3 linked regions of the Daphnia pulex genome follow. The protein of the gene in region 1 purifies or fractionates together with the protein of each later gene. This does not show direct contact. Links are inferred from orthologs where the notes say so. Each region holds a gene or a part of one and is shown on either strand. Other genes may lie near its edges.

What was found.
Region 2: the proteins of rapamycin-insensitive companion of mTOR-like (region 1) and F-box/WD repeat-containing protein 7-like purify together in Homo sapiens (affinity purification with western blotting; 3 studies listed by BioGRID, with this or other methods). This does not show direct contact. The link is inferred for Daphnia pulex from reciprocal best matches to the Homo sapiens genes RICTOR and FBXW7.
Region 3: the proteins of rapamycin-insensitive companion of mTOR-like (region 1) and target of rapamycin complex subunit lst8-like purify together in Homo sapiens (affinity purification with western blotting; 14 studies listed by BioGRID and IntAct, with this or other methods). This does not show direct contact. The link is inferred for Daphnia pulex from reciprocal best matches to the Homo sapiens genes RICTOR and MLST8.

The regions. Positions count from the first base shown.
Region 1 is NC_060019.1:11,217,690-11,221,745, reverse strand, and holds the start of rapamycin-insensitive companion of mTOR-like, read right to left. Parts: upstream 2,886-4,056; 5' UTR 2,753-2,885; coding exon 2,716-2,752; intron 2,592-2,715; coding exon 2,532-2,591; intron 2,456-2,531; coding exon 2,290-2,455; intron 2,227-2,289; coding exon 2,095-2,226; intron 2,030-2,094; coding exon 1,839-2,029; intron 1,774-1,838; coding exon 1,385-1,773; intron 1,316-1,384; coding exon 1,006-1,315; intron 939-1,005; coding exon 601-938; intron 540-600; coding exon 423-539; intron 345-422; coding exon 162-344; intron 93-161; coding exon 1-92. Other genes in the region: NAD(P)H-hydrate epimerase, read right to left, coding at 3,368-3,491, 3,557-3,638, 3,721-3,977, 4,041-4,056. UniProt on the Homo sapiens protein: Component of the mechanistic target of rapamycin complex 2 (mTORC2), which transduces signals from growth factors to pathways involved in proliferation, cytoskeletal organization, lipogenesis and anabolic output.
Region 2 is NC_060019.1:12,535,812-12,540,187, forward strand, and holds the start of F-box/WD repeat-containing protein 7-like, read left to right. Parts: upstream 1-1,484; 5' UTR 1,485-1,862; intron 1,863-1,947; 5' UTR 1,948-2,076; coding exon 2,077-2,244; intron 2,245-2,311; coding exon 2,312-2,460; intron 2,461-2,619; coding exon 2,620-2,977; intron 2,978-3,041; coding exon 3,042-3,227; intron 3,228-3,292; coding exon 3,293-3,691; intron 3,692-3,758; coding exon 3,759-3,938; intron 3,939-4,036; coding exon 4,037-4,218; intron 4,219-4,295; coding exon 4,296-4,376. UniProt on the Homo sapiens protein: Substrate recognition component of a SCF (SKP1-CUL1-F-box protein) E3 ubiquitin-protein ligase complex which mediates the ubiquitination and subsequent proteasomal degradation of target proteins.
Region 3 is NC_060019.1:9,055,961-9,059,498, reverse strand, and holds target of rapamycin complex subunit lst8-like, read left to right. Parts: upstream 1-1,405; 5' UTR 1,406-1,517; coding exon 1,518-1,849; intron 1,850-1,916; coding exon 1,917-2,036; intron 2,037-2,101; coding exon 2,102-2,132; intron 2,133-2,192; coding exon 2,193-2,270; intron 2,271-2,354; coding exon 2,355-2,500; intron 2,501-2,559; coding exon 2,560-2,702; intron 2,703-2,771; coding exon 2,772-2,887; 3' UTR 2,888-3,011; downstream 3,012-3,538. Other genes in the region: uncharacterized protein LOC124191397, read left to right, coding at 1-676, 737-829, 895-1,323.

The sequences.
Region 1 (4,056 bases):
AGGCAGTCATGAGCCGAAGAAGCCAGAGAAATATCACGGATTGCACTGCTAACATCATCCAGAAATTCGGCCAAAATCTTTTCACATTCCAACTGTAAAAATAAAAATCGACCAAAAAATTTAATAACAAACCATAAATTCAAATAGAAGAAAAAGATTACCTCTTCAATAACTGTAAGAGAATCCATCAGATAACAACCAACGGTCGAATACAGACGCATACGGCTATTATTAAATTCGCATTGACAAAACTGATTGCTAGTGGGCTTGTAGAATTGCATTACCCGACGGAAAATCGATCTCAAATTCGAATCTTCCAACGCGCAAGAATTCATCTTACTCCACTAATAATAAATCAATAACAAGTTTATACAAAATTCGATTATTTAAGAAAAGATGGATTTCTATGAGATAATCTTTACCAAGAAAAGATTGGATAAAACGGACCAGTTCCAAATCAATGAATCTTTTTGCGCCAGGACTCCACAGTCTCGAGAAAGTGCTGAAAGAACGCTATCAGAATCTCTGCTGGATCTCATCTACAAATTCCAAATTTTTAAAATCTGATTTATTTTATAATGGGCGAACACAAATTCATACCTCTGATTCCATTTCTCCATTGGTCTGAAACTCCGTCTCGTCTCGATGGATGTTGGTTGCATTCTCCTCAGTTTTCTTGTATCTCACGGAGGAGTGTTTGTTGCACGATGCTCTTCTTTCTAATTCAACGATTTGTTTAAGAGCTAAACTGTAGGGAACGATTCCTTTTTTCTTAAGTTGGTGAATTTTGGAGAGGGCTGCTGCTGCTTGGGCGGCTCGGTGGCGTTTCACTGGGTCGCTTTTAAGTGACGTAATGCAGTCAACTAATTGAGGCAGACACATTTTTGTCCCGTGACAGGAGGGTGGCAGCAAAGTACTACTTAAATGCAATAACTCTCCTAAAAAGGAACAGATTCATAATTTAATAATAATAGTTAATATTTATTATATTATGCGAGAGTGTACCCAGCAAAATTGTTGCTCGGACCGATATAAAAGTGTCACTTGTCGTAATTACTTCCACAAGTGTCTGGACTAATCTGGCTTCAACCAAGCAGTAAACCAACAAGGCCATATGGTTTAATACAAGATTTGGTCTGAATTTGGAAATGTGCGGTAGTAGACATTTGCCTTCTGCAGCTACATAGCCTTCCTGCAGCTTCCAGGCGTCCTGTACACGGGACGGATCAGTAGCTAGAAGCGCTACGGAAAATTCGTCCGTCCATTCCGGCAGTGGTAACCGCAGAAGTGTATAGAAGAATTCCAACATTGATTTCTATATGAAAATGTAATTGTCATTTAATTATAAACCACCAAGCTATCCAATCAAGATGAAAGAACTTGCCCTGGTTTCCAAGTGACATGGGAGCAAGACTTTGACTAGGTCTTCAAGAATTTTGCAGCTCATAACATGTAATACTCCATTCCAAGACCTAAGAACTGTAAGCAGTGCTTGCTTAGCGCAGAGTAGACGAAGCTCACGATCATCTGTCGTAGTAGATGAATTGTTTCCTTCTCCTGCATCTATGTAGTGTCTATAGTGGAAATCACTATAGGGAGCAATCAGAAATCGCAGGTTTAATTTCGAAAGCTCACGTCGCGGCTCTGTGTCGAATAGGTAGAGTAGGGATGCCATCATAGCTTCTTGCATACGAGCAGAGGAGCAATCTAAAACAGCAGATGAGAAACATCGAACACCTCCGCTGGCAACGAACACGGATGGGTTTACGATACCTATAAATGGATTGAATTCAATGGATTGATGTCTTGATTTGGCTTTTAATAGAAATAAACCTTACAAAGTTCAGCTAGAATAGCCAAAGATGCTCGTACTAAACGGTCCTTTTCTTTGGTGCCATCAAAAGCAAGAGCTACAATTGAACGCGCCAGAGCAACAGGGAATGATGGTGGATCAACCAGCATCAATCTCCTACATAATCTCAAGGCTTGAGCACGTTCTGCCATGTTATCCACGAGCACATCCAGACACCTATTAGAGAACCAAAAGATATAGCTTAATATGCTTGTTCCTCTATATTTCATTCTTTATAATACTTTGCAATGAAGTAATGAAGATCTGCTTGAACCAATTTTTGTGCATATTCTTCATTTTTTAAGCACAGTCTAATTATCCTTAGACCAGCAGCTCTTACGGCTTTGCTGTCGTTGATCAAAGCAATTCGTAGACTGGAAAAAAAAGGATCTTTCAATACTGATACACAACAAAGTATATAACTCTTCTTTTGAGACCATATAAAAAAATCCAAAATGTCCAGTCCAATGCTGTCACAGCCTTTCTTCTCAATATGCTTTGAGATTACATTTAAAACCGATCCTATGTGTTGAGGTTTGCCAAGGGTAACAACATCTTTGCAGCACATTTGCAGCAAAGCATCCTTAATGCTGGGAGTCAGGTCTTGACATTTATAGTACAAGGAAGTCAGTCACCAATAAAACATAATAAAGTATTTGTCTATAAATTTGTAGTTTACCAGTTTGAGGGTTACCATTCACAATTGCTGAAGAAACTAGCACATCTGAAGTAGCATTTACTAGATGAAGAAACAGGATTCAAGATTAAATATCAAACAATGTAGAAAGCTTGCACACAAAACAGAAATACTGTAGGAAAATTAATTTCCTATAGTAAAACAAAAAAAATAAATAAAAATTTACGTTTGACAGTTCGCCCCAATCGTCGAGGCACCTCCATTTTCGAAGGTTGACAAACAACTGAGAGAATAAACGCGCGCGATTGAACTTTTTTGAATGCGAAACGTGTTCTCCCGTTCTATGAAGCAATCTAGATTACTAATAAGGGCTATGTTATGTATCACAAGAGAATGAATATAGCGTATTTGAAAGTTCCATTCACAACATAAACTTTTTAATTGATAATTTTTTTATAAAAGTCCATTATTAGAGAAAAATTTCTTTCACAAAAAATTAACATATATATTTTTCTTCTGAAAACGCGATCCATGAATATGATTTTAAAGTATTTTTTTTTTGTAAATATTAAAAAAAGCTTGTAAGATACTTGCGCATTGATGGATAGTTCAATTATTATTACTTTTACACCTTTACACCTGAAGAACCGGTATTAGCTAGTGAATAATCAGGTTGCTGACGGTAATATATTCTTCTGTGAAACGCGTAGCAAAGATTATGCCATCAGACAGCTGACAACTTTTTACCAAAAATCTTTTCAAACAAGATTTTATTAAAAATAATTTAATACTAATTAGTATAAAATAATTAATATGAAGACATTGCTTTTGAAATCGTGTATTTATTACGGCTCTGCTGGGCCCTGCTGATAAACATATTATAATCTTACGCAATTATGCGTTGAAGGATAATTTGGTAATTTTAGTTTGTATTTCGTAGCCAATGCAGGTGCAATAAAACGACCCCCTAAAAAATGGATCCCGTGGAAAAATCTTGCGCACCTGCCATAATCGACTTTAATTATTTTTGAACCAGAGATAATATGAACGTGAAGTAAATACTGTACAATTTCGGCGCAGACAAAGAAATAAGCATGGCTGGCTTTAAGGAATTATCTTGATCAAGTGGCCCATTTTCAACATCCCAGCCTGCAAGTACCAGACAATATTTAATAGCACACTTGTATGTATGAAAAATGCTAGCACAATAAGAACAAATGAATTCCTGTACCACTGGGAATATCAATACTGCAGCAGGGTGTAGACATGTGTAGCATATTGTCAATAATCTCAGTGAATTCCTTTCGGACAGGAGCTTTGAAGCTAAAGCCAAATAGTGCATCGACAACAAGTGAGTATTTTGAATTCAAGTCTTCAGTAGTTGGGCATGCTGTTAAAAATGGGATTTCAAACAGTTCACACTGCTTTGTAAGATTTTCATAGAGAGTCTTGGCTGTACGCTTGGGATAGAAGATTTCAGGACAGTAGCTATAAAAGAAATAAGAGACATGTAAAAAAAACTGCTGCTGCAAGTACCTCAGATTATAATACCCAAACATTTTCAAAT
Region 2 (4,376 bases), about 1.3 Mb from region 1:
GGTCATACGGTTCCATTTGATCCAAGTGACGCATATCCTTAATCCCAATAATCTTTTAAAAAAACTATCTTTATGGATTCATTGACGTACGTCCGATGTGTAGATTTTTATATCGTTCACGTGTTGAGTCCATGTGCCTGTTTAACATTTCAAATAACATTTTCAATATAAAATAGTTTCAACATAAAACAGACCCAGTAAACCGTAGCGCATGTTGGTCTCGTTCGTCATTCACAATCGAACACTATCAAATGACGCAACGTATGTTCGTTAGCTGCAACGACGACTCCATTGTTTAAATAGGCGCGCCTAACCTCACACCTCTTCAATCCGGTGCTTCTGCACTTAAATGAACCGGTCAAAGACCAATTGCTGGTTTATTAAAAAATATATAGATTTCTCAATGCCCACACAAAATGTGCATCAAAGTTTCTTGGCAATTCAATGAGCGACCTATTTTCATGACTGGGGAAGCGACGATAATGCCCGATGAAAGAGCGAATTCAACATTCAACACAAGATCACCGAATGTTTTGTGCTGCGCTTACTAATGATCTTTTTGAAAAGTTAATGCTAATACGGTAGCAGCTATCACTCCGAATCCGAGAAATTTTGAATGTCATGGGGCAATAAACGGAATTGAATATTGTAACAATCAGAGAAAAACGAAAATTTGTTACAATTATATTATTAATGAGGACGAACCTTCAACTTTTAAAAAACCTGCGAGATATCGCGTAAGTAGCAGTTTGAATTTCTTATATCGAACGTTTATAATTCATCGCGAGTCATCTAGCGATAGCTAGAAAAAGCAAGATTCGGGCGCCCTTTAACACTGCGTAGCTGCTATAATGTGTACAAAAATATAGATACACAATTTAGTTGGATGAATACTTAACTGGCTATTGGTTGAATCGGGTTCAACTTTCGTCCAACCGTATGAGAGAACTAGAACTCAACATTACGCAGTAACGTTTTCAACAGAGTTGAAATGCTTGAGAAACAATTTGCACCAAAACTTCCATTGTTATTGAAATTGTGGCTTTAATTCAGTTGGATCTGTAAAGGGCTGATGGTATGAAGAGATTCAAGGGGGACATTTCAGGAGGGGGAACGATGAATAGCGATGATGATCCGTTGAAGTTTCAAGAACTGAACAGTTAGAAACTTAAAAAAAAATATGATATAATACTCTTTGATAGTAATGCAATACAAAAATATTATTAAGGGTGGGGGATGTATGTACAAAGAAAGGCGGGAAAGATGAAATGAGGTAGGCCCACGTATTGGCCTTTAAAAAACCGCCTAGCTTTGTTGTTTAAAAAAGGATAATAATTACCACTATAAATTCGATAGTAACACTGTAAACGTGTCAAGTGGGTTTTGCTACGAGATTCTAAGCGAAATAAAGAAAAAAGCGCATGTGATGACGACCACAGGGCGCGTCCAGCAACTGGGAAATGTTAACAAGCAATTTGGCAACGCTTTTTAGTCCAGCATATATCGTTGTCTGTCTCGGCTTCACCATTCGTGTGAAACAAAATTCTCTTTGATGCTGATCCTCGTGTACAAATTTTTTTCTATATTTACGCTCTTTGTGAAATCGAAATGCCCGAATCATTTTAGTGCTAGATTTTTTCTATTTTAAATCCTTTATTTGATTAAGTTGTTTTTGCCCACCCGTGCTTGCGGAATATTTTCAAAATCGCATTTTAAAGGTCTGCCCTTGTTCCCAAAACACTACACACTATCAAGCCCTCGCCCATATCATTAAAAAGATTCTACTTTTATTTTGATTGCACTTTTTGACTCGTAACGCCATTATAATTTTCGCTGCACTTTTCACTGGATTTTTATCGACGGTAAGTGTGAATCATTCTTGCTTTGTTTCATTATTGTTATAAAAAGAAACCTTTATTAACAACATTGAATCTTCTTTCTTGGCAGATGAGATGACTAGTGTTTAATTGAGGATATGAGTTGTTGTCTAGGCAGCTGTGTTTTGGTTTCCTAGTAATAGCTCAGCTTCTCAATCTCTAGCTTACGTAGCAGTCAGAAACCCAGCAGAAATAATTTATGCCAGCGTCCAGAGGACGGAGTAGTGGGAGGGGCATGGGCGACACTGCTAATGAAAGTCTAGCTCAGAGAAACCTGGTAGACATCAATGTGGCTACTGTTGAAGAGCTTTCCACCTTGGTTGGAGTTGGACGCAGCAGAGCTGAAGCCATTGTGGAAACCAGAAATGTAAGTTTAGGATTAACCCAACACCAGTGTGTTTTATATGGTTTTGACATGTGTTTTTCCTTTGTAGTCCCTTGGAGGATTTACATCCATCGAAGATCTAAGTCTGGCTCCAGGTGTGGGGACAAATTTGATTGAAGCCAATCGTCAGATACTAACAATATCAGTACCAGCTCAGTCGTCTCAGGTGAATGCAAGAAAAGCCAACACTCGGAGCAGGTAAATAGTGTTATACAATACTAAATTTATACCCCCTTCTCATGGTTTTGCTATTAGTGTAGGTATATTTCTTTATTGTTACTCTTATCTAAGCCTTTGTTCTTTGGATTAGGCAAAAATGCGTCATTTGATTCTAAACATGTTTTGTTGTTGCCCTAGAAGCAGTGATAATACAAGCGCTCAACCGACTCCGAGCACCACACCAGTGATATCTAGTTCAAGTGATAACGCGACAGAAGACCAGCAAAACGACAGTGGAAGTAGCAGCAGCAACGAATGGGGTGCTTGCCGTTTGAGGCAGCGCCGGTCAACAAGCAGAATAAATCCACTGCCCGTTGGCAAATCGCCTTCGCTTCGACAGACTCGGAGCAACGATAGCATCATTCAATCGCCTCCTCCTCTCCCCACAACACCTACATCATCGACACCTACTGCTCCTGCCAACGACGCCAGCAATGTATCCGTTAAAGAGGAATCACCCACCTCGGAGAATGATGACGTCGCCAGACCAGGAGCTGTAAGTTTATCCAACACTTATTTGTTATTAAGAACATGAATTTAATTAAGGTGGTGTGTTGTAGACCAAGCGCAAGTCGGAGTCGACAGCTGAGATGGCAGCTGAAGTAGCCACGGAGAAAAAAACATGTCGAAGGGGTGAAGGTGTTGATTCATCTTCCTCGTCAATCTACTGCCATGTTCACCGTAATCCGATTCCCTCGAAAGACAATCCTCCGCCAGGATTTTGCCAGTGGCTTCACACGTTCCAAGTATTTTTCGTCATTCTCTCAACCACTAACTCATTGCTAAGAAAAACCATTTGTTATCATTGCAGTACTGGTCGAACGCTGAGCGTTTATGTGCCATTGACCAACTGATAGAGCTGTGTGAACCCACTCAGGTCCGTCACATGATGGCTGTTATTGAACCACAGTTCCAACGCGATTTCATATCGCTGCTGCCCAAAGAACTGGCTCTGTATGTTCTCAGTTTCCTCACGCCTCGCGACTTGACTCGCGCCGCACAAACCTGCCGTTGTTGGAGAGTCTTGGCTGAAGATAATCTCCTCTGGCGAGAAAAATGTCGTGAAGCGGGTATCGATGACGTTCGTGATACTCTAAATAAGCGACGTCTTCGCGGATCTTCCCACCACTCATCTCTCAGTTGTGGTCTTTCTTCCCCCACCGGATCTAGCCAAAACAATGCACCAATTATTACTCCGTCACCCTGGAAGGTGAATAGATCAATCTGGCTTAAACGTTAATAGGTTGCAAGATAATATTGATTCGTTGCATTTTCAGGCGACTTATATGCGTCACCGAAATATTGAGTTGAATTGGCGAGTGAGGCCGATCCCACAGCCAAGGGTATTGAAAGGTCATGACGATCACGTCATCACCTGCTTACAGTTTTGCGGAAACCGCATCGTTTCGGGATCGGATGACAACACGCTCAAAGTCTGGTCGGCTACTACGGGAAAGGTAATTCATTGGGCTTTCTGCCTAGACAGGACAAAGACTTTAAAAACGCGAAATGTCTTAAGAACAGACAACCATTTAATTGTCATTTCACTCAACAGTGCATGAGGACTCTGCAGGGACATACGGGAGGCGTTTGGTCCTCTCAAATGCAGGGAAATATTATAGTCAGCGGGAGTACAGACAGAACCTTAAAAGTCTGGAACGCTGAGTCTGGACAGTGTTTGCACACATTATACGGCCACACCTCCACTGTCCGTTGCATGCATTTACACGGAAATAAGTCAGTCTTTTTATCAGATATTTGTAGCAAGCACTCTTACTAATTCAACTGTTTTCCTTGATCAAAAATGAATGTAGGGTGGTGAGCGGGTCACGGGATGCAACGTTACGTGTATGGGATGTTGAGACGGGCGAATGTTTACATGTTCTTGTTGGTCA
Region 3 (3,538 bases), about 2.2 Mb from region 1:
CAATTTCGAATCAGCTACATCTCAGGAAGCACAAGAAAATGCTGGCCCAAATGAATCGGATCACAATTACGTTATTCGTTCTTCTTCGACCCCTACTGTGAATGAGGAGGAAAGTTTCCATTTGGGTATGGCGGGTTACCACAACTTCATTAATGGTGTCGTTACTCCTACAGCTGAATGGACTTGGTCCTTCAACGAACGAAACAACAATTTAGTTTGTTCTTGTCATATTTTTTCCCATGACGGTGTGATGACTATAAAATCTGTTAAAATTGTCACCATGACCAAAGTTGCGTTGTATCTGAATGGAAAACCCATCACGCCTCCAGATATGCAATTTGAGTTTCGAAGTAAAGCTGATTTAGCAAATATTCTTGAAGATTTCAATTACAGAAGAACATGTCAAGGAATTGTGGATGATTCGCTAGCAGATACCGAAGTGACGGGTAAATGTGCTGGTATCAAGGAAGGCAATTTGTGGCGCTCAAAAATGTGCATGGGAATTGCAAACCCTCCTGCTTCCGCTCTCTGTTCAAAATGCCGCGTTTTTAAAAATTATTTGAAGAGAAGTACAAATAATCAGAAGACCAAGAAATTGAAAAATTCGAAAGAAGATTATAAATCGAGGTTGCGTTCCACCAAGCAAAGGTTGACACGATCAAATTCTAAAATTGAGGTAAATTATTGTTGGATTTTTTCTCGGAATAATCCTTTAATAGTTCTTTCTGAATTTCAGGCTCTTTCAGGTACCATAGAAGGTTTGCGCAATGAAAGGAAGAAGCTTTACTGGAATAGCTTTGATGTGAAATTAAAGCTTTTAAAGCCCAAAGTAATGATTAATTGATATGTCAAATTTCTCTTTTCAGCTAATTTACAAGAATTACTCACTTTTAGGAACAGCTAGTTGTTAAAACAATGATGGCCAAAGCAACAGTGAATCCTGGAAGAAACGATCGATTCAGCGCAATGCGTTACGATCCCGAATTTCTCAAAGAATGTTTACGAATCAGAAACAAAAGTTCTTCGGCGTACAAGCATTTAAGATCCGAAGGCATTCTTCCCCTACCGAGTCAGAATACACTCTTAAGAATCATGAAAAAAACAGATCTCGGTGATTCTAATAAATCAACGCAACCGGATCCACAAAACGTCTCCGCCGAATCAAATTTCATGGAACAAACAAATGTGGAAAATGAATGTCCTGCCTTACCCCACTTCACTGAGTCCGTATCGCCTACACCTGAAATAATGTTGCTACATTCAGAAGAAATACCTGTGTCTGTACAAGAAGAAATGATTGTTGAAATCTTGTCGGTTCAATAAAATGTGATTTAAAACTTAAAAATTTCTCTTCTTTTTTTTTAATTTCATACCTTTCGTAATTTGGCAATGCGGCCTTGGGCTCGTAGTTTGAGTTTCTGATCGTCGTCTGCTAGTAGAGTGATTTCAGAAGAAAAACAATAAGGAAATTTATTTTGTTGGTTTGACTTAAACGTCAAACAATATAATAAAACCTTATGGGTAATAATAATGGAGATCAAGTTATATTAGCTACAGGAGGTTATGATCACTCAATTAAATTCTGGCAAGCCCACTCGGGAGTGTGTACCCGGACGGTAACACATCCCGAATCGCAAGTGAATGCTCTCGATATCACCCCCGACAGCCAGCTATTGGCAGCTGCAGGATACCAACATATTCGCATGTATGAAATCAACTCTTCTAACCCCAATCCCATAGTCAATTATGAAGGTATTTCACGAAATGTGACTGCTGTTGGATTTCACGAAGATGGACACTGGATGTACACTGGAGGAGAAGACTGTTCTGCAAGAGTTTGGGATCTTAGGTATCATGTTTCCTCGTATTATTGGAAAAAACATAGTTTGATTGAGTTCTCATTTGTGTCATTCTAGGACAAGAAATTTGCAATGTTCCAGAATATTTCAAGTCACTGCCCCTGTAAATTGTGTTTGTTTGCATCCTAATCAAGGTGAACTATTGGTAGGAGACCAAAGTGGTGTCATCCACATCTGGTGAGATTTTACGTACCTTTCTTATTCTGTTGGGAATGATTGTAACACATGGATTGCTTATATAGGGACCTGAGAACAGATCACAATGAACAACTGGTTAGTATTGATACCTCAAGTATTTCCATTTCCATAATAATATCAATCAAATACTTACAGATTCCAGAACAAGATGCCTCCATTCAAGACATTTCCATTGATTCTTCTGCAAACTTCATGGCAGCCATTAATAACAAGGTGCCCATTATTGATGTTTATTCTTAGTTTCCCAACCAAGTCTTGAGATGTTTTTTTTCCTTTTCTCTCTCTACACAAATAAAGGGAAACTGTTATGTTTGGAGCCTCATCCCTGGGACTAAACTGCCGGACGGCGAAGAAGGTTCGACACCAACACAGTTGCGACCGAAAAGCCGTTTGTTAGCTCACAAACGTTACGGTCTCAAATGCAAATTCAGCCCTGACGCAAAGTATACGTTCGCCTCGTTTTCTTTGAATTTCTTTTTCAATCTTACAATTGATCTCGCAGGTACTTGGCCACGACGTCAGCCGATCAAACGGCCAAGTTATGGAAGACTTCCGATTTTTCCCTTCATTCCACACTGCAAACTGAAAATCAGCGCTGGGTGTGGGACATTGCCTTCTCTGCCGATTCACAATACGCAATAACAGGTACTTGACTCTTCTATTCTTCATCCTGGTTTTGTCTGCCTGTCTTGATGAAACATTTCGTTTATCCAGCTTCGTCCGACAACACAGCAAGGCTGTGGAGTATAGAAACGAGCGAGATAGCTAAAGAATACATTGGTCATTCAAAAGCTCTTACCTCATTGGCATTTCAAGACGGGACACCGTAAATTGAACATTTTACCATAATTTTCCCTTTTTTTTGGTTTTTTTTTTTCTTCTATTTTTCTCAAATGTATAAAATGTTTTTCATTGGCTTTGATACACTTAGGAACGCCTGAATTTTTAATGGTACCGTCCCACCTCACTTGTAGAGGTTGATTCATTTGGTAGAGCGGGAATCAACTCACCTATCTTGTGTCGTATTGGCTTTGGCCCCCTCAATCTCAAGACAAACGTCAACGTCAAATTGGATTAACATTCAATCAGTCGGGCGTAATGGGTTTGGGATGGCGTGACGAATTTCAGCCGAATGGAAGCAACCAAGCGCCCTATCCTCCTCTATTCATGTCAAGTCATCCATTTCTACAGTCCAGCAGAAAGGAGAAGGGAATAGTCTCGCGTACAACGAACGTGGGGCTCATCTATCAGTATTAATCTCCTTAGTTGGACACTAGCCTCGATTCTTGATGAGATTACCGAATTCAGGGCACCGAGGATGGACTTGATCGCTCCCGTGCCGGCCATTGTTTTTTCCAAACATCTTTCTTCCGCTCCTTTTTTTATCAGTTGGTTTTCCATCACTTGAATGTCCCATCACTTAAACCACCAATGCGGTGGACCGGGTTGGTCGTCGCATTAATCTCATGTCGACCTCTGAT